2 linked regions of the Notamacropus eugenii genome follow. The protein of the gene in region 1 purifies or fractionates together with the protein of each later gene. This does not show direct contact. Links are inferred from orthologs where the notes say so. Each region holds a gene or a part of one and is shown on either strand. Other genes may lie near its edges.

Region 1 (9,900 bases):
CTGGAAGGTAGCTGCTATTATCCCATTTTGCAGATGGGGAAACTGAGGCAGGCAGTGGTCAAGTGACTAAATAGATCCTTGCTCATCATTTTGTACCAGTTTTACTGACCCCATTATTATTCAAGTCCCTTCTCACCACCTAATCCACAAAATTCTAAGAGTCTGTTTGCTTAAAATCAAAGTACACTTGTCTCAGCCATATTAGTAACTTTATTCCAAAAACAAACAGAGGTTAGTTGGGTTAGCCTCCTTTGGGGAGGTAAATCTTCATAGGCAATAAGTGATTACTCATTTTTTAAAAAAATGTTTATCACATTTTATCTTAATGTTTTTACATCTCTTTAAGAAATGCATTCTCCAATGTTTATTGTCTCAAACAACATTGATCTTCAAGTGGCCGGCTTGACTTTTCCCTCATCCCCTATCTCAGAAATCTTTCAGGGTTCAGCATATGAAGCATTTCCTGCCCCTCTCCCCCTAAAGTATCCCTCTCTCCTCAGAGCACCCAAAGCATTTGAAGGGTGCATCTTACAGACACCTTTCATATTGTTCTCTGCAGCATCATAGTTCTATGTGTATATATGCACACATATATAAATACATACATACATACACACACACACACACACAGAGTGGGGCAGGAGTGATAAGGCAGAGGTCTGAGAGCCTCCTCCAGGTGTGACAGAGGATCCTGGGGAAGTCCTTTCTTTTTGTCTTGAAAATGAATAAAAGGGCACTGGCACAACTTGGGCAAATAAGTTGCCCGGTGAGTATTTCTCAAATAAAGGAAGACTCTAATCAGACATCATCTTTCCCTTCCTTAGAATCTTAGAATGAAGGGCAGGAAGGAAAATGGTTTGGGGCATAAGTTCAAGAGAGGGAAACAGAATACAGAACCTATACACAGGAGGCCCTAAATGAATGTATTTTCAATGAAAAAACCCAGATCTCCATTATTGTTTTCTCTGGCATCTAACTGGTATAATTTAAGATGGAGTAATGAGTCCACAAAAATGAGCAAACAACATAGATGGATATATCATTACAGAATGTGATGTGTGCTGAGGACATAAAGAGATGCTCAAAGCCCTATTAGCACAGTCTAGAGTGGAGGGAGAATTCTATTGGGAAGGAACCAGCAAGGGCTGCAGGAGAGGGTAGTCAAACCACTTCATTTCCTTCCCCTCAGTTCCCTCATCTGTAAAAGGTTGGAACCTTAGGGATTAGCCAGGCTACCACCTCACTTTGTAGGGATGAGGACAGTGAGCCCGAGGAGTTTAGGGCCCAAGGAGATGGTGGATCCAGGTTTCAGACCTGGGTTACAGAGCTCTGTGGCAGACATAACCCACAGTTTAAGAAGCACTGAAGGGGTCATGAGTGAAAAAAGTTTAAGAAGCTCCGGACTATGTATAATGTTCTGGCCTAGAGAAATGCCCTAGGAAAACCCCTCTTGTGCTCCACAGCCTTTAGTCCCCAAACGCAGTGCCACATTGCCTCCATCACTGTTGTGCAAACAGAAAACTTGGCTGCCCCTAGGGAGATCCGCGCCATGCGGCTGGCCTACAGCCTGTTCTTGCAACTGTGTTCCACATGCTATCACTTAACTTGGCTTGTCTCTCCAGTCACCCCAGCCACACCCAGTGCCTTTGCCTCAGTGGGCCAGATAGGTCAGCCCTTGCATAAGCAGGGCTCCTGGCCACTCCAGGAGGGACTCAGCTGGTAGCAAGCCCAGGCCAGGCCCCTCCTCTACTATCTAGTCCCTCCACCAGCTCAATCCCCTTCTCCACTCCTCTAACCACACCCTAAGCCCCAGGGTGGGGGTGGGGGTGGTGGGAGTGGAGAAAGAGCTGAGTTCTGACCTGCAAATCCCCACCCACAGCCTCCAGCCCAAGGAGGAGCCAGAGGGAGGGAAGAGACTTCATCCCACGGAGGCCTGCCACAGCTGTACAGTAGACCCAAATCAGCTAGATCTGGCCTGGCTGTCCCATAGGAATAGGAGATAACCACTGCCCCGGGCTCAGCTGAGGCTAGCGACACTGACACCCAACCAAGTCATTTTTCTCCTTCCCCTGTGCCTCACAGAATCACACCTGGAGAACTCCTGACCTCTGCCCCAGGAGGGCCCCTATTTAATCCTCTCTAAGCCTGTCATCACCAGAGGCAAGATTCCCCAAACCTAGTGCTTTCGCCCCTTCCTCTCTGGCTTGGGAGCCATGTGTGGATTCAGATTCCATCTCTAACACTTGTGTGTGTGTTTGTCATTCTTTGCTGAAGAAGATCATATCATCAGAGAAATGATGACATGACGTGCACTTGACTTTGTTTTGAGTGAGAGAGGGCTGTGCAGGTCACCTGCCTCACTTCTCCTCCAGAGCCATCTGAATCCAGCGACCAGATGACTGGAGATGACCTAGGATGAGGCAATTGGGGTTAAGTGACTTGCCCAAGGTCACACAGCTAGTGAGTGTGAAGTGTCTGAGGTGAGATATGAACTCAGGTCCTCCTGACTCCTGCACTGCTCTATCCACTGCACCATGTAGCTGCCCCTTCTCTAACACTTACATCCAGCCTTAGTCACTTATTAGATCCAGTGCTGATGTGAGAAGGCAGGGCAGTCTGGGTATTTCAAGGCATTGTGGTAATGGACATTCTGCTCTGTTACACACACACACACACACACACACACACACACACACACACACACACACACACACACACACACACCCAAATAGGGTCACAAAGAGTCAGAAATGACTGAAAACAACTAACCAACAAAGAAAAACAACATATATCACTATGGGTTGGGGAGAGAGTCTTATCTAAAATATGATGAAAAGTGTTTAATAACATAATGCTGCCCCTTCCCCTCTCAAGGTCTCAGTTTCCTCATTTGGGAAAGGAAGGGTTTGGAATAAATGACTCTGAAGGTCTCTTCCAGTTCTATCTCTGATTATCAAGAGTTAAACCGATGGGGACACTGAAGCTGAGAACTACAGTTCACAGGTGGGGATGATGGTTGAGGTTCTGAGATGCCCAGTCTCAATCCGACTCCTCCCCACCCTGCCCCAATTCTTCAACTGCATCCTCTCCTGCTTAAGACATTTCAACAGCTTTGAATTGAAGGTATAATAATGAATAAGAATACCTTACATACTTACAGTGGATTTATCATTTTCAAAGCACTTTCTTACAGATGATCTGATTTGAGCCTCACAATGAATTTGTGAGGTAGGCTGGGCAGATAGTATCCTTATTTGACAAATTAAGAAACTGAGATTCAGAAATGAAGTAAATTGCCCAAGGTCACAAAGCAGAATGAGCAATACAGCTGAAGTCCTTTGGCTTTTTTTTCCAGGGCATTCTGACTTCCAGAAAGGGTAGAATGGGAAAAAACACTGGGTTTGGAACTGAATGAGAATTCTTCCTTTGTGACAACTCTGTGGGTCTCAGATTCTTCACCTGTAAAATGAGGGAGCTGGACTGAGTGACTAGCCATTGGCCTGCTCTAGTCCTTTTATCTAAGATCTTTCATTAGTCATGGGAAAATTGTCTTATATTTGTGGGCATCAGTTTTCTCAGTTACGATATGGGGGAGAAACCTTCATAGCATACTGTTGTGGTTTGTCCTTCATTCTCAAAGAGGACCATGACATCAGGGAGATGATAACATGACTTGCATTGAATTGGATTTGAGGGAGGGCAGGCTGGGCAAAGTCACCAGCCTTACTTTCTTCTCCAGAGCCATCTGGGTCCAGTGGCCAGATATCCAATCAGGATGACCTGAGATGGCCCAGCTTAGCATGCTGAATTCAGAGTGAAGGACCTGGGTTGGAACCTCTGGTTCAGCAACTATGAGGTAGAATTTGAACTCAGACCTTCTATTACTTACTACCTACCAGTGTGATCCCTAGGTTAGTCATTTCATTTCTCTGGGCTTCAATTTTTTCCTCTGGAAAAACCAGGGGGTTAAAGAACACTAGGTGATCTCTAAAGTTACTTCCAGCTCTAACTTTTTTTTTATCATAAGCATTCTTCTTTCCTCCACAAGGATGTATTAATAACAATTTTTTTTTTGTTTTTCTGTTGTTGTCCAGTTGTTTTCAGTTGTGTCCGACTCTTCATGACACCATTTTGTGGTTTTTGTGGCAGAGATACTGGAGTGGTTTGCATTTCCTTCTCCAGTTCAATTGATAGAAGAGAAAACTGAGACAAATAGAGTTAAGTGACTTACCCAGGGTGACACAGCTAGTAAGTGTCTGAGACCAGATTTGAACTCAGAAAGATGGGTCTTCCTGACTCCAGGTCTGGCGCTCTATGCCCAGTGCTGCCACTAATAGTACAAACTATTTAGTGCTTTTAAGGAACACAAAGCACTTTGCATATACTAACTCATTTTATGCTGGGAGGGAGGTAGTAGTATTATCTTGGCTTTATAGATAAGGAAACTGAGGCACATAACCTGAGGCTGGTTAAAAGACTTAGCCAAGTTCACCCAACTAGGAAGTATAAGAGGCAGGTTTGAACTCAGGTCTTTCTTGAAGATAATAAAATGGAGATGGGAAAATGTCATGTAAACTCCAGCTGAGCTGATGGACACTAACACTCTAGAGAATGAGTCAAGGTTTGCAGGGGTAAAGATTCCATTTAACCAGCACTTTTTAAAACCTCCATTGAGCTCATTACAATCTACAAAGCCTTTTCACAACCTTTATCTCATGTGATCCTCACCACAACCTTTGGAAGGAGGTGGTCACAGGTATTATTATCCTCATTTTACAGATGAGGCCCAGAGAGTTGAAATGTTTCACTCAAGGTCTGATATATGGTAAGGATTAAACATGAACTAGAACCCAGGTTTTTTGACCCTTAGTCTAGTGCTTCTTCTCTCTTAATCAGTGAATCAACCAATCAACAAGCATTTATTAAGTGCTTACTATGTGCCAGGTAATTTCAATCACTGCGGGACCCAAAGAGAGGAAAAAACAAGCCCTGCTTAGAAGAAGCTGACCTTCTAATGGGAGAGAGGATATGTAAATAATCCAGAACATACAAGATATATAACAGAGCTGGTGGAAGTTCATCTCAAAGAGGAAGGTTCTGGAAGCTGGTAGAATGAATAAGACCTCCTGCAGAAGACTGTCTTGGAGCTAAGTCTTGAAAGATACAAGAGATTCTAAGAGGTAGAAGTGAGGATGAGTATTTCAGGAAGGGATGCCATAGTTGGAAATGTTTGGGTTCATATATGAATAATGAACATTTTACTCTAAAAAGGAAACTTTTAAAGTATTTGCCTCAATCACATTTGTCCTCTCGAGATTCTCAAGGAAAATGGAGGTAGAGGATGTAGAAAGAATATTGAGATTGAAGGCAGAAGGTCTTTATTCTAATACTACCACTGTCACTTTTCAAGTGTGATCTTGGGAAAGTAAATTTCAAATCTCACTACCTTTCCTAACTGGAGAATGGGAATTATACTTCTTACTCTGTAATCTCCTTACAAAGTTGTTGACAGGAAATCATTTTGTAAAAAAACATAACACAAGCTATGAATTATAATCTGTAAAATGAGATCATAAACACAATTACTGACAAACATAAAGAATATAAGCTCCCAATGGTTTTTAAAAACATTCGTTATTTTTTAAAAAATTTGATTGGTAGAACAAAATGTCCCCTTAAAAAGGCTGACTACTAAAAGGGTCTCCCATCTTTATGTTAAGCTCACGTAAGACTCCTTAGTAGATGTAACCACAGAGATAGTTTTATTCAACAGTCATCTGAGTATCCATAGGGAGCCAGGGACACAACAGGGAGGTGATTGCTCACTGAGGTATTTGTCACTTTCATGGAAGACAAGGATAGGAGGTCCTGGGTAGAATCCAAATGAAAAAATAATTCTCTAAAGATGGTAAATTTGGCCATATAATGAGAAGATGGAACCCATTGGAAAACACCCTGGTGTTGGGAAAGAATGAAAGCAAAAGGAAAAGGGGATGGCAGAAGATAAGATGGATGGATAGTGTCACGGAAACAACAAACGTGAACTTGGACAGACTTCAAGAGATAGCAGAGGAGAGAACAACTTGGTATGCTATGGTCCATGGGGTGACTGAGGAGTAAGACACAACTGCATGACTGAACAACAAAAAAGATGGTGAGTTCTTCCTGGCATTATTGGAAGACAATGTACTGAGAACCTCAAGTTCCAGAATAGGGCAAGGCTTCTTCCATGAGATCCATAACCACTAAAGTCTAACAATCTATAAGGAAAAAAACATTTAGATGAAGAGTGTCTATTGTCAAGTCAGCAAGTATTTATTGAGCACCTACAGTATGCCAGGCACTATGTTAAGCACTGGAGATATAAAGAAAGACCAAAAAAATGATCGCTGGCCTCAAGGAGCTCACAGTCTTAATAGAAGAGACAACATTCAAACAGCTACATTCAAGTAAGATATACAGATATGTATGTATAGATAGATTTAGATATCCACATACCTATATCTTGATAGATACATATATATGCCTTCCCTCTGAGATTATTTCCAATTTCTTCTGTATAGATATAAATATATAGCTATCCATATCTATTTATCTGCCTACCTACCTACCTATCTACCTACCTATCTATCTATCTATCTATCTATCTATCTATCTATCTATCTATCTATCTATCTATCTACCTATCTATCTATCTGTCTATTTATCTATCCATCCATCCATCCATCCATCCATCCATCCATCCATCCATCCATCCATCTATCCATCTATAGGATAAATTAGAGATACTCTCAGAAGGAAAGCCTTAACATTAAGATAGATCAGGAAAATCTTCCTGTAGATGGTGGGATTTTTTGCTGAGACTTGAAGGAAACCAGGGAAGCCAGAAGGCAGAGGTGAGAAGGGAGAGCATCATGTGTATGGGACACAGTCCATGAAAATGCCCAGACTTGAGAGATGGAGTGTCTTGTGAGAGGAACAGTAAGGAAATTGTCCTGATTATGACACACTGCTGGGAAGTTCACTGATTTAAACTATCACTACACATATTCTGGACAGGTTCTGCAAGTGGACAATGAGCCAGGGTCCAAATCGAACATGTGGGAGGGAAATGGCCAACAGCATTGGGGAAATCAGTTTTGATGAACCCAAATTATATCCTTATGTGTAAGCTCATTAAAAAAAAAACCACATTACTATCCTTCCAACTCTCTTTCTTCCACAAAGGGCTTAAAGGTCAACCATGCTGAGATGGAGTTGGGGTGCTATATGATTGTGAATCATATACTCTACAGTCTCAGGAGAGTCACAGTTGTGCATGGCACAAAGGGCAATGGGGAGATAGAGGATGGAAGCTGACTCCAGTTTATTACCAAAGATGACTTTTGTGTGATAAGTAGCATGGAAGACACCAACCAAAAAAACATTGTGCCCAAAAAAGGACGTAGATTGGTCATGTAGTAAAAGCAGAGAAGAGATGGACAGAGTCCCATTGGTACCCATGTAATATTATCAGTCATGTAGCGAAAGCAAAAGATAACAGATGGACAGACTGAGGGCTACACTGGTCCCCAGGTGATGTTATTAGTCATGTAGTGAAAGCCAAAGATAACAGATGGACAGATTGAATGCCACACCAGTACCTTTAATGTGAAAAGACCTAGGGGAGATCTCTAGTAAACTGAGTGAAATCTTTATAAAGGCTTTATGGAGACAAGAGCAGAACATGATTCGATGGCTTATATGGACTTCTATGGAAAGTGTCCCCATTAGTGAGATCATATAGTAAAATGAGAGCTTTCTACAAAGAATTCACAAACCTTCACTGTTTTTAAAATTAATATTATTCCCATGTGACAGTAGGGAAAGCATGTGCACAGAATAGCCAAGGGACCTCCCCAGGGTCACACAGCATGATTATGTCAGTAACAGGATAAAGCTAAGGACATGCCCTAGCCTTTCATATTATAACAGAGTATCTATTAGCATTCCTAAGACAAGTCTGTATCTGTCTCCTGGCATTCTGCTGTCCTCTAGATGATGACCTTTTTTTGCCTCTGAAAGACTTAGTTGACATTCTTGGGGATCTTCCACATCCCCAAGGTGTACCACTGCTCTGAAACAACCAGAACGCATTGAGCTGGGGCTGTACATTCCAGAGACAGTGTAGCCTTCCATCATCCTAGGAATTGTTTTCTCATCTCTAACTTCAACCATGCTCATTACCAAACAGCTGATGGTAGTTATTTGGCCTCCCCAACTCTCATCTTTCTTTCTGCTCCTGCCTGCCCTGTCCACCCCAACAACTTTGCACAATTCCTAGATGCTTTTTGAAAAGAAATTCTTTTTAATCACACACATGTAAAGCAGTCTTTCAGACACAGACACAGACACATACACATACTCAGGAGAACAAAGACATGAGAACTTCACAAAGCTCTCTGCAACCAAAGAGAAGCTCTAGAGAGGAAAACAATGATGAGTCTCTTGTCATCAATGAATAATCCCACTCACAGATTTATATGGAGAGCTTTACATGGGGTGTTCCTCGCTTCCAGAGCCCTGAAGAAAGGCTCTATGTCAGTCAATGGAACCTCTAAAAAAAGTCACTTTGTATTTTTAAAGTCTTCTTCAAACAAAAGTTAACTTGCTTAACCTCTTCCCTTCCCACTACCAATTAGTTTTATGTTTCAGAAAGAAAAACAGAGGTACAGGGGAGAGAAGGGATTTGTCCAAAGATTTTCAATTCAATTCAACGTTTGCTCCACAGCATCTACTAAGTTCAGGACAATATGATAGGTAGGTAAGACACGGTTCTGGTTTTCATCATTGTTTTCTGGTATGGATAACCATAATTCACACTGAATAATATATGTGCCCAAAGAACTGCAAAGCTGTATGTGGAATGTGAGAGGAAACCATTCCTGACTAAGGGGATGGGGACAGTTTCCTGAAGGAAGAGACATTTGAGTTGGATTTAAAGGATGGCTAAGAATTCAGTAAGTGAAGGGAGAAAGGCAGCCTAGGCATAGGAAACAGCATGGACAAAGGCATGGAGGACGGAAAAGTTAGGCATATGTAGGAGGCCAGGGTAAACAGTTCAGTTTGATTGGAACACAGACTACATGGAGAAGAGTACTATTAAAAATGTAAAATTGTGTCATTAGTTTGAAATTTATCCAATGGACAGACATCATGGGAACCATCATGGGAATTAAGCAGAGGAGTAAATGATTATTTCACAAGGAAGATTCCTATCAGTGATATAGAAGGAGGTTTGGAGGAAGAGAGATTAAAGGAGAAGAACAGTTAATATTCAGTTAGGGTCTGTATTAGAGGGGTGATTATGAAAATTGAGAGAAGGATGGGGGAAAATACTGTGCTGGACTGAATAAAAGGAGGGAGGAAGAAGACAGACTCCAAGACACCACCAAAGTTTTGAACATGTGAGAATGGTAGTTGCTCTAAAACAGAAGAGTCAGAAGGAAGAGCTGTATTTGGGAGAAAGATCATGTTCACAGTTACAAGGATGTTGCTGCACTCCAGTGCCTAGAGGAGGTATCCTGTAGACAGGTCTGTGCTTTGGAGACAAAGTGTATAGATCACAGGAAAGGTCAACATTGGCGATGCAGATTTGGTGGTCGTGGTTGAAACTGGGGAAGTGGATGAGACTGTTGACAGTACACAGAACTGAAATGAGACAGAACATGGGAGGAATAGTTACCTTAATGATTTGGGAAGAAGAGGAAGAAATAGGGAAAAGATGAGTCATAGTAAAAGTAACTCACAAAAGTTCCTTGATCTCTCTGGAGGTCACCAGGTCCAACCTGCTTATTTTGCAAAGGTATAACATAAAGCCCAGATATAATAAGTGACTTGCCCGAGGTGTGTTGGTTACTA
Region 2 (9,857 bases), on another chromosome or scaffold:
TTAAATCATACCCAATCATTCTTGGAAGTATCAACTAAAAAGTATGTTGAAAGCAAATGGCAATCATTTTTACTCAAGACTTTAGCACCCCCTTACTGTGGCTCAATTATTAGATGAAAAAATCTGATCTTTTATTACCTGCCATTACCTTCCCCCAACACACCCCTCACACCCAAAGACATGTCCTTCATTTGAAGATAATTATCTCCTGCATCATCTTGTTCTGTCTAGTTACTTATAATTTGCAACTCCAATATACCTTTCTACGTATTACTACACCTCATTTCAGGGACAAAAAACCTTCTCATCTATCCAGAACAGAATTTTCCCCCCTGGAGAAATACTTCAAAAATCTATTGTCCAAGTACTTTTTTTCTATTGTAAAATTTTCAATTTCAATTCAACTTAAGTCCAAAGATAATGGTGAAAGATAACATTAAACACTTAAAATTACTCCACAAATAAATTGACCTATGGGTTTCTCAGTCCAGAAAAATGAAAAGTCATCTTCATTTTATCATCAGATCAGTACTGGTCATTCTCCCAGTTAACATCAAACAGGCAGGGTCTTTATGTACAAATAATGGAGGCATAGCAGCCACTAAGACAGAGAAGCAGATGCATGTTAACACAATCATTAGTACAGTGGTGTCTCATGGTCTTCAATGTTTACTGGACTGAAGCCAAATCCCTGCAGCTCAGGAAGATGAGAAGAATCTGTTGTGAACCCTGCAATGGAAGGCACACACATTGGCAGCAGAAAGCATTAGAAAGGGATCACACTTCCAAGAGAAAATCAAGACCAAACAGAGAGAAAAAAATAAAGATTAAATTGTTACTTCACAAAGAAAAATCAAAAGCAGAAATAAAGTTAACATCAAAATCCAAACACTCCTTGGAGGTTTTTACTTTATTTTATTGTTCAATTTTGTTGCTCTGCACAGCTCCAAACCTTCCCCCAATGACATGAGGAAGGGGGCTACAAGGACAAGGCCAACAAGAGTTTTCTTATTTTTAAGTCTAAGGAGGCCAGGTGACAGATGACCATTTTTATTAGAGACTATGTAATTGACTACTGCTTTTTAGGACTATGAGGAAGAAATGTGAAAGCTATAATCTTCTGCCCATACTTCTTGTACTATACTGGCACAACAAAGAAAAACACAATTTTCCCCCTGTGAGTAAATGCTAAAGATTCAGGACAGACTCAGTTGGAAGTAAATGGAGTAGTAATTTGAGTTATTTTTTGTGTGAGGTGTGATTCTGTACAGTACATGTAAAACTCAGCAGAGGTCACAGCCATCATCTACTATGACAAGAAAATATATAGAAACCAGCCCTGGACAGATCACCACACTGGCAATGTATATCTATCAGTATCATTATCAACAGATAAGTATTGCATTTCTATGACCAATTATTGCTTATACCTGACCCAATTCAAGTCTAATTGAAATCTGCATTCTATTCTCTTTTCTGAGGGTTAAGGATTTCCTTCAAGTTTCACAGTCTTAGACCCAGTAGCTATGACTGAACCAGAACACCAGACTACAGCTTGGTCCATGCCATTGCCATGATCCAGGAAACCTAGAAATCCCAGAAGCCAGAAGCCACTGTATGCCTTTATTTGACATTGATGCCAATTAAAGTAGCAAGTAGCAAATTCCTGACCTGAAACTCCTTCCTTGAGCAGCATGGCTTGTTAGCTGATATCTATCTGCTTTGTCAGTTTAGGGCCTTGGTGGGTCAAGATTAACCTCATCCAAATTGGACATCTTTTTACTGTTATCCATAATTCCAGGACTTTGGAAGGTACTCCTGGTGGACCCTTAATGGGTCAAGATGACGCTCAACCTTTCTCCATGGCCAGCAGATAAAACTCCCCAGACAGCACTGAAGAGTCAGAAATGTAAAGCAATTCAACAGAGCTAAGCAAGCTTTGAGGAGCCAAAGTACACTGAATATAGGACAGGGTATGCTGGGTAAAGGCAGGCACAGCTTAGCTGTCAATAACATGAGAGGTTGGCGAGGAAAGATAAGATAGATCTAGCTGGGCAGGGTTGAGGTCACTGGTCTCTAGAGGCTGGTGAATTAAGAAACTGATTTCCAAGGAATCCAAGGAGTCCAGCCTATCAACTGCAACCAGTGTGTGGGGAGCCCCCCCAGCCAATCCTCACTAAGTGACTTGAGATACTTTCTAAGAAGTCCCATACTCTCTATACCCTCATTCTGCATCCAAGGCTCTGGTTTTTAAATCTTTGAGTCCAGGTACACTGAAAAAGCTGCAAAGGGCAAGGCACTTTGGTTCTGGTAAACACCAGATACAGACTACCAGCCTAGAGGCACCATTAGCCTTACAGATTAGTCAGCTAGATATTCTTATAAAAATGCTTCTTAGGAGAAGACAAAGTAACAGGGGTGGGGAGAGGGATAGGGAAAAAGGGGTACATGAAGAGGAAAGAATGCTTTTTAAAAAATTCATGTCATTTGGTTAATTTTCCCCATACATATGTCTACATGGTTTTCCAATTTTCAAAGGCAAATTCTCTGACTTAAAAGGACCAGCTGCAGTGGCCCTTATCTCCCTCTTCTAAGTGGTTTTTTTTACATTTGGTCAAGTTTTTATATAGAACAGCTTCCACTCCTCACTTTCCAGAATGACTGTGATTTAAGAGCATCATAAGGAAACAGAGATGGAGACCTATGTTCCAGCCCCTCATTTGTTAATATCAAAGTCTCAGGAAGTGTTTTAGTTTTTCCTATCCGATGTGCGAATTGTGGATGCACACCAAGTCATTTCAAAATCAATATTAGTCAGTTAAAGCTAGAGATGAGCCAGGAGAAAAATTGCCAGAATACCACTCAATCAGAGAAAACATGGGTCTCAATTGCAAAACTACTAAAATGGGACTATTGCTAGCAAAGCCTGTTGGCCTTCCAGTTGTTTCTCACCCTCCCCTCCTCCCAACCCACTCCCAACAATTAGCAAGTCACTTTCCAAATAGTAAAATAGAAACAAAAACTCTTCTGTCCAATGTTCTCCCTCTACCTATGGCCAATGGGGAAAGTCTTGAGCCAGCTGCCTTGCTCAGCTCTATTGGCCAGAGAAGAAGAGAGCAGTTAGGAAGTTCCTTCATGTAGAACTCCAGAGCAGCCTGGGGCTGCTACCTTACAGTAACAGTCCTGGAAAGATATCAGAGCCAAGCTGTCACAGGGAGACAAAATCCAAAGGACTACCTTATCACCTGGAGTCACCAGGCTCCTGGTAACAGGACAGATGGTACAAATCTCTGATTGTTCCTTGACTGGCAAGAACAGAGGATCCAATGAACAAAGTAAGTGAGAAGCTTGCTGCTGTGGTGGAAAGCTATCAGAGACACACATGCCACTGTTTTTGAAAAAGAAAAGGAGCTGGAAGTATGGGAGAATTCACACTTGCAGGTGACTAGGGACAACCAAAATACACCACCACACTACACTACACCAATGGCGGCCACTGCCAACGCCCTGTCACACAGTATACAATCATAGCAAACCACAGAAAAGGAGGGGCAGACACACAGGAACTCAAAACCACACAGGTGAAGGCAGCCACTTTGAGAGCTCCAGACAGATGATCAGAAAAAAAGCAAAAGTGGTTAGATTAGAGGAGAAAGATGAAAATAGAAAAAGGCACTAGAGAAGAAGGCAGCAAAAGGATGGCAGGAAACCTACTATAAACGTAAAGGGAGGGGAAGAAACAACTTCAACACTAAGCTGGTCTGAGAGTGTGCTTTTGTGGAGTTTTAACTTTGAAACCTCCCCACGTCCCTCATCCCTTGTCCCTCCTCCCTCCTCCCATCCCACATGACAGGAGATTTTAGACATTTCCATAGATTTTTCCCCAGTCCTTTGTTCCTAGAGGAAAGAGACACACAGAGGGGATGAATAGAGGAAAATGGGGGGACGAGTACAAAAGGGGGGAAAGGAAGGGCAAAAAGAAAAAAAAAATTGCCACAAATATTTTAATATGCTACAACTGAAGGGGTTGTGGGTTTGAAAGAACAAAGACAGGGTGGGTGGTCATACTAGGAAGGAGGTGGAAGGGGAGAAGGGTCACTGGGCCACCTCTAAGGACTACAGTGCTACTACTGTAGGGTGCTGGACTCACTCTGAAGGACGCTTATGGTAGCCTGGGCTCGGATCCATGTTAGGGAGGGATTTTGCCTCAAGTCATTCCTCCTTGGGTCGTTGCTGGCCCTGCACTCGTAAGTCCCAGAGTCCTCCAAGGTGAGGCCGGTTATTCTCAGCACACTCACGCCGTTTGACCCGTAGGCGGTGTTTACGGTGACACGGCGCTTCCGAGCACCGTCCCACAGCTGTCTGAAAGACTCTGGCTGGTTGACTTCTGCGTACCACCACTGGATCTCTGGAGTGGGGCTCCCAACCACGTCACAGTACAGCTCAAAGGCGTCCCCCGTGAGTTTAGTTTCTGACATGGGCGACTTGACAAACCCAGCTAGAGGGAGGGGCAGCAGGAATGCAGTGGCAGGCCAGTCAGAAAAAAAAAATCAACAGGAGTTAATAGTAATTTTTTAAAAGAAAATTAAAAAAAAAGCAAATGAGTTGCAAAGAACAGAAAAGGATTTATTTAAAAAATAGAGACAGTAACAGCAATTCATACAAGCTTTTAGAAGAACCATCCTGGCCAACTTAGGAAGCAAAGGCAGGCTGATTAGAAGCTGGGATAGCCCTGGACAACAACCGCCAGGCAGAAGCAAGCCCACTAAGCAGCCTCGGTAGCAATGGGTCCAGTGGGCAGGAATGGGAGAGCCTAAAGGCTGGGAAGCATCCTCACAGCACAAACCATACCTTTCCCAAACTGGGGAGGTGATGAAAGAGCAACTGGAAATCAGCATCAGGGCTAAATGCCAAGCCAGAATCTCTCTTTGGGAGAGCTGATTGCCCTGGGAATGTTGCAGCGCCTTTATGAAAGTGCAGCAGTGCGTGTTAAATGGAAGTCCAGAGACGGTATCTAAGGAAGCCATTGACAAGTGTCAGATGTCCAGCAGACAGTCTGTCCTGACTCAGGTTGGACTCTCTTAGCACAGTGCCTCCAGAGCTTTAGCACAGCACCTAGCACATAGCAGGTGCTTAATAAATGTTTATTTACTCACTGACTGACTTAAAAAAACACCAAGGAAACAAACCCTAGTACTTGAGCAGCTCCAATAAGAACAATTCCCTCAAACAAACTAGAAGCTGTGGGTGAAAGCTAGGGCTCAGCTGTGTTGGCCACCACCGAAGAATGAAGGCCTTCCTCATTCCCCCACCCCCAGCAGCTGGATATTGGTCCTTCTCTTTCTCCCACCAGGGATTTGCTTTGGGCTTCAGATCAAAGTGATACTGGGTTAGGAAGTAGAAATGTCATAGATGAAAAATCAAAGACTTTTTGAAAAGTTTATGGAGGTAGGTCCTTGGAAAGGTAAGACCTGGTTCAGTCTCTCTTACTGACTTACTACACCCACAGACTGTCTTATCTGCTGATTCAAATATCACACAGGAAGATCACAGAGACCACTCAAGACTGGCTGCACATTTTCCCTAGGGACACTGAAGCAGCACCTCTGCACATGAACAGAGATGCGCAAACTAGGCATATTCCAGAGGAGATGTACACATTAAATGGAACATTCCCTCTGTACCACAGAAGCAAAGGGAATGGGGCTAACAACCAGAAAATTTAGGTTACAGGAAGAAATTCTCATACTTCCAGGTGTAACTACTTGCTTTTAGGGAAAAAAACAAAACACGGCCTCGTGTAACATGCCATTAAAGGGGGAGAAAAACCCTCTATGTACCATATAGAAATCGAAGTACTTTTTTTTTTTTTTTTTACAGAATAGTTCAGACCCCAAATCTAAGCTACAAAGTATCCTGGTAGAGTAAAACGAGTGTTGTTCCTGGGAGCTGAGCATCTTTCTAGTACTGCTCTTAATTAGCCATGTGACCTTGGACAAGTACCTCAGCTCTCTGTCTCAGTTTCTTCTGTGAAATGAGGGTGATGGGCTGAATCACTTCTGAAATTCCTTCCAGCTCTGTCATTCTCTAACCTGGAGAATGTTTTAAATATTCTTTGGGGACTGGGGGAACAATGACCTCAAGACTCTTGACCTGCAAAGGCACTGAATGTCAAGTACAAAGAGCACAAAACTCATTTATTGTTCCAAATCACCTCTACTGGTCAGCCCTAGCAGGGTCCTCCCCCTCTGCAGGGACTCTCAGGAGCCACACAGGTATCACTGGAAGATCCAGAAGAAGCTCAGAGTAAGACATTCAACTTGAGACCTTCTCTCAGCTGTCTTGCCAACGGATGACAGTATAGCATCCGGGCACCGGGGTAATTAAGCATCACTATATAAAACACACGCCAGCTAGGAAGCATGACTCTCATGTAAGCCAATACTGTATTCCTTTCCTGGAACAAATTTGTTTTTTCCAAGTATACAAACAACTCTAAAGAAAACTTATTTCCAAGAAAGGTATGGAGGATGATTATTTAACTTGTTGGTTTAAGTAATCACTACTTCTTAGAGAAACGAGAACAGGTCAGGAAAGTTCTTTGAGCTGCCAGATTTTAGTAATTATTAGCAAGATTAACTGGAGACTTGCTCATTTTCCTCTAACAGAATTGTCATTAGCTCCATAGTTCCCTACGACAGCCTGGACAGAATTTGAACCTATGGTATGATAAGCCTTAGACAAAGCAAGAACAAAGAATCCATGCAAAACAGAAAAGCTTGAGAGAGTCCTAAAATAATTTGTAGGAAGGACAATTGGTTAAAAATAAAAAGAACCTTACAATATCTTTGCTGAGCAGACTGGTTCAATATACAAAGTATTCTACTTGCCTCTGATCCTCTGGAGACTGTGATGGTCATTAGATTATAGATTTAGAGCAGGAAAGGACCTTAGGTCATCTAATCAACCTTCTCAGTTTTGCAGATTAAGAAATAGACAGCAATTATCATTTGACCATGATTATATAAACAGTAAACAGCAGAGCTAGGATTTGAAGCCAGGTCATCTGACTCCAAACTGAATGGGGCTTTTTCACTTTACCCCTTTGCCTAGACGAATTGTACATAACAGAAGGGGAGCTAATTTTTCATTCTGATATTCTTGTCAGGGACCATGGTAAAATAAATCTCTGTCACCTATACTAAAGATATGCTTTTTAATAAATGCTTTTGCATACATTTTCACTGATCCTACAACTGCCCTATTAGATAGGTAGGCAAGTAGTATGCCCATTTTACAAATAACAAAACTAAGAACTGGAAGTTAAGGATCCACCACACAGTACAAGCATTGTAAAGGCACACTCTCTCTATAACATCCTAGAGAAGCAATAACTGACCCAAGCTCACCACTTGTATCACAAAGAGTGGTGGCAGAAATAGTGAGGATCTAAGTCTTCCCACTCTCAAGGCCAGATACTTTCCACAATACCACAAAACCTCTCCATCAATCAGGAGATTCCTTGATACTAGAAAACTCATAAAAAATTGTACAACCTAACCTTTTTCTCCTCCTAGCAGCAGGGAGTTAGTAAAATGAACTTTTCTATAAAGTATTCATACAATTAGCATAGAAAATCAAGATTAGCAATAAACTACACCTCATTACCTATCCAAAATTAGCTTCAATTCAGCAGACGAGAAGAATCAGCTCTCAGAAGCAGGAGGTAAACAGCCTAGGGTCTAAATCATCCCTTTTGCTTCCAGACACACCAGCACCTTCAGAATGAAAAGTTACAGCTGAAGGTCAGGTGCCTTATAAAGGCATGTGCTTCCATAAAAGCTGAAGTTTGGGGAGGCAAGGAACCCCAGTCATGGTTTATAAAAGTTCCCCCAAATTCAGAAAAGTTGGTTTTGTTTTGCAAAATAATCTCCACCCCCCCCTTTCAATCCCATGCCACCACTCCTGACATAAATGGCTACAACAAGATGTTGAGTAAGTGTGAGTCCTACAAATTGGCTCTATCATTCCTGCATTTAATAACCAGGAAACTGCAGAATCCCAATTGGTTGTTCAGAGAGGAAGGAAAAAGAAAAAATATGATAAAAGGATGTGACAAAGTTGGGAAAGTAAGAATATTCAATTGTGTGACTGGGAGTGGGAAAAAGAAGACAGCTCAGAATAGTACCTGGAGAAAGGACAAGCTCTCTGGACAGAAAAAGCTAGGAGTCTGGATTGTGAAAGTATTCGAGTCAAGAGGGGCACACAGAGCAAGGTGAATGCCATTCCAAAAGAAGACAGCTTTCACATACATACATAGCTGACTTTTGAAACAGGAATACTAGCACCTCAAATTTCCTGTTTAACTCCAGGGCAGGCCCAGCTAGATTTGCAAAGGTAGACTTCCTCCCCATGACTGTTAACCAAGGCCAGCAAGGCCTTTAAAATAAGCCCCACTCTTGTCTTACACAGCAGCCCTCTTGAAGCCCCAGTCAATTTATAATGCTGCTGGCAGATCTGATTCTTTCAGTCTGTGCTTTCCTGCCTCTCTATTCTAAGAAAGAAAATTAGATTACAATTGACTAAAGGGCACAGGCTCAAATCTCTGAGTCCAAGGTCGAACAAGACAACCTGCTGACATCTAACGTGAGGTTCTAGTCTCAATATTTCACATCTTTCAATTAGCCCCAACCACCCTGGGCAGATACATACTGTATCACCATCACCATCATCACATTTATATAGCCCTTTAAGTTTTTCAAACTGCTTTGTAGGCATTATTTGATCCTTACAACAATCCTGTTATTGTTATTCTCATTTTGCAGAAGAGGAAACTGAGGTTGAAAAAACATTAAGTGACTTATCCAGGATGAGACAGCTAAGCTAAATGTCTAAGGCAGGATTTGAACTCAGGTCTGTCTGGCTCAAAGGCCACTGTGCCATCTAGCACACATGTGTACACATACACCCACACCCACAAACACTTCCTATATAGTCTAACCACATTAACTGTTGGTCGGTCAGTGAACAATTCCACAGAGGCAAGTTGTAGCTCTATGCTGAAATGCTCCATTTGTTGATGTGGAGGCAGAGCCCAAAGGATGGAAAATGAAGTTTAACCACAGAGTAGCTGAAGGGGGATAGAACCCTTGGCATGATGTGTAGCAGTTAGGATTTATTTCTCAAATTTTAAATCCAGTATTTTTTCATGCCTTTCTCTCTGGTTTTTTTTTTTTTATGCCTCCTCATCAGGCACCTCCTTCGGCAGAAACTGAACTTACCTGTTTCTCCTAACTGCCATGTCTTGGTCAAGAAGAGCACTGAGGCTCAGAACCTCACTTGTCTTGGACATAATCCCCCCATATCAAATCAATCAGGCATCAAATTCTCTACCATAAGATCCTACTCTATCTTAGTGACAAAATAAATCTCCTTATTTTGAAGAATTTAGTGTGTATACGTATTATGACTCATGTAAGTGCATCAGTAGGGCACTGGTATTAAAAAGTTGGGTCTTTGTTTTGGGGAACTGTAAATCTTTATAATTTTAGAGTTCTACAGTATGACTAACTGGGAAATACTGATGTAGACTGACTGTACTGTTGTCTGGAAGGCAGAAACAAAAACATCCCTTTGTTCCATAGAAATGGGCCCTGTTCTAATTGACATTTCTGTGACTGAGTCAAATGAAAGCATCAAAAATGTGCTCCTTTCTTCTTTGCAAACATGTCGGACTTTTTTTATATGTTGGTTAGTTTTGAACTGTTTAAGTAAAGTCTACTCGGAAAGGTTTTCTTCAATCACTACAAGCCCTACATTTTCCATACATTAATTAGCATCCTGATCCCAGAGGCTCA

What was found.
Region 2: the proteins of ATP2B4 (region 1) and NPTN purify together in Homo sapiens (co-immunoprecipitation; 3 studies listed by BioGRID and IntAct, with this or other methods). This does not show direct contact. The link is inferred for Notamacropus eugenii from reciprocal best matches to the Homo sapiens genes ATP2B4 and NPTN.

Annotation. Positions count from the first base shown.
Region 1 is NC_092873.1:436,291,782-436,301,681, forward strand, and holds the start of ATP2B4 (plasma membrane calcium-transporting ATPase 4), read right to left. Parts: upstream 3,824-9,900; 5' UTR 3,159-3,823; intron 1-3,158. UniProt on the Homo sapiens protein: Calcium/calmodulin-regulated and magnesium-dependent enzyme that catalyzes the hydrolysis of ATP coupled with the transport of calcium out of the cell. By regulating sperm cell calcium homeostasis, may play a role in sperm motility.
Region 2 is NC_092872.1:243,422,816-243,432,672, reverse strand, and holds the start of NPTN (neuroplastin), read right to left. Parts: upstream 4,494-9,857; 5' UTR 4,479-4,493; coding exon 4,151-4,478; intron 1-4,150. UniProt on the Homo sapiens protein: Probable homophilic and heterophilic cell adhesion molecule involved in long term potentiation at hippocampal excitatory synapses through activation of p38MAPK. May also regulate neurite outgrowth by activating the FGFR1 signaling pathway.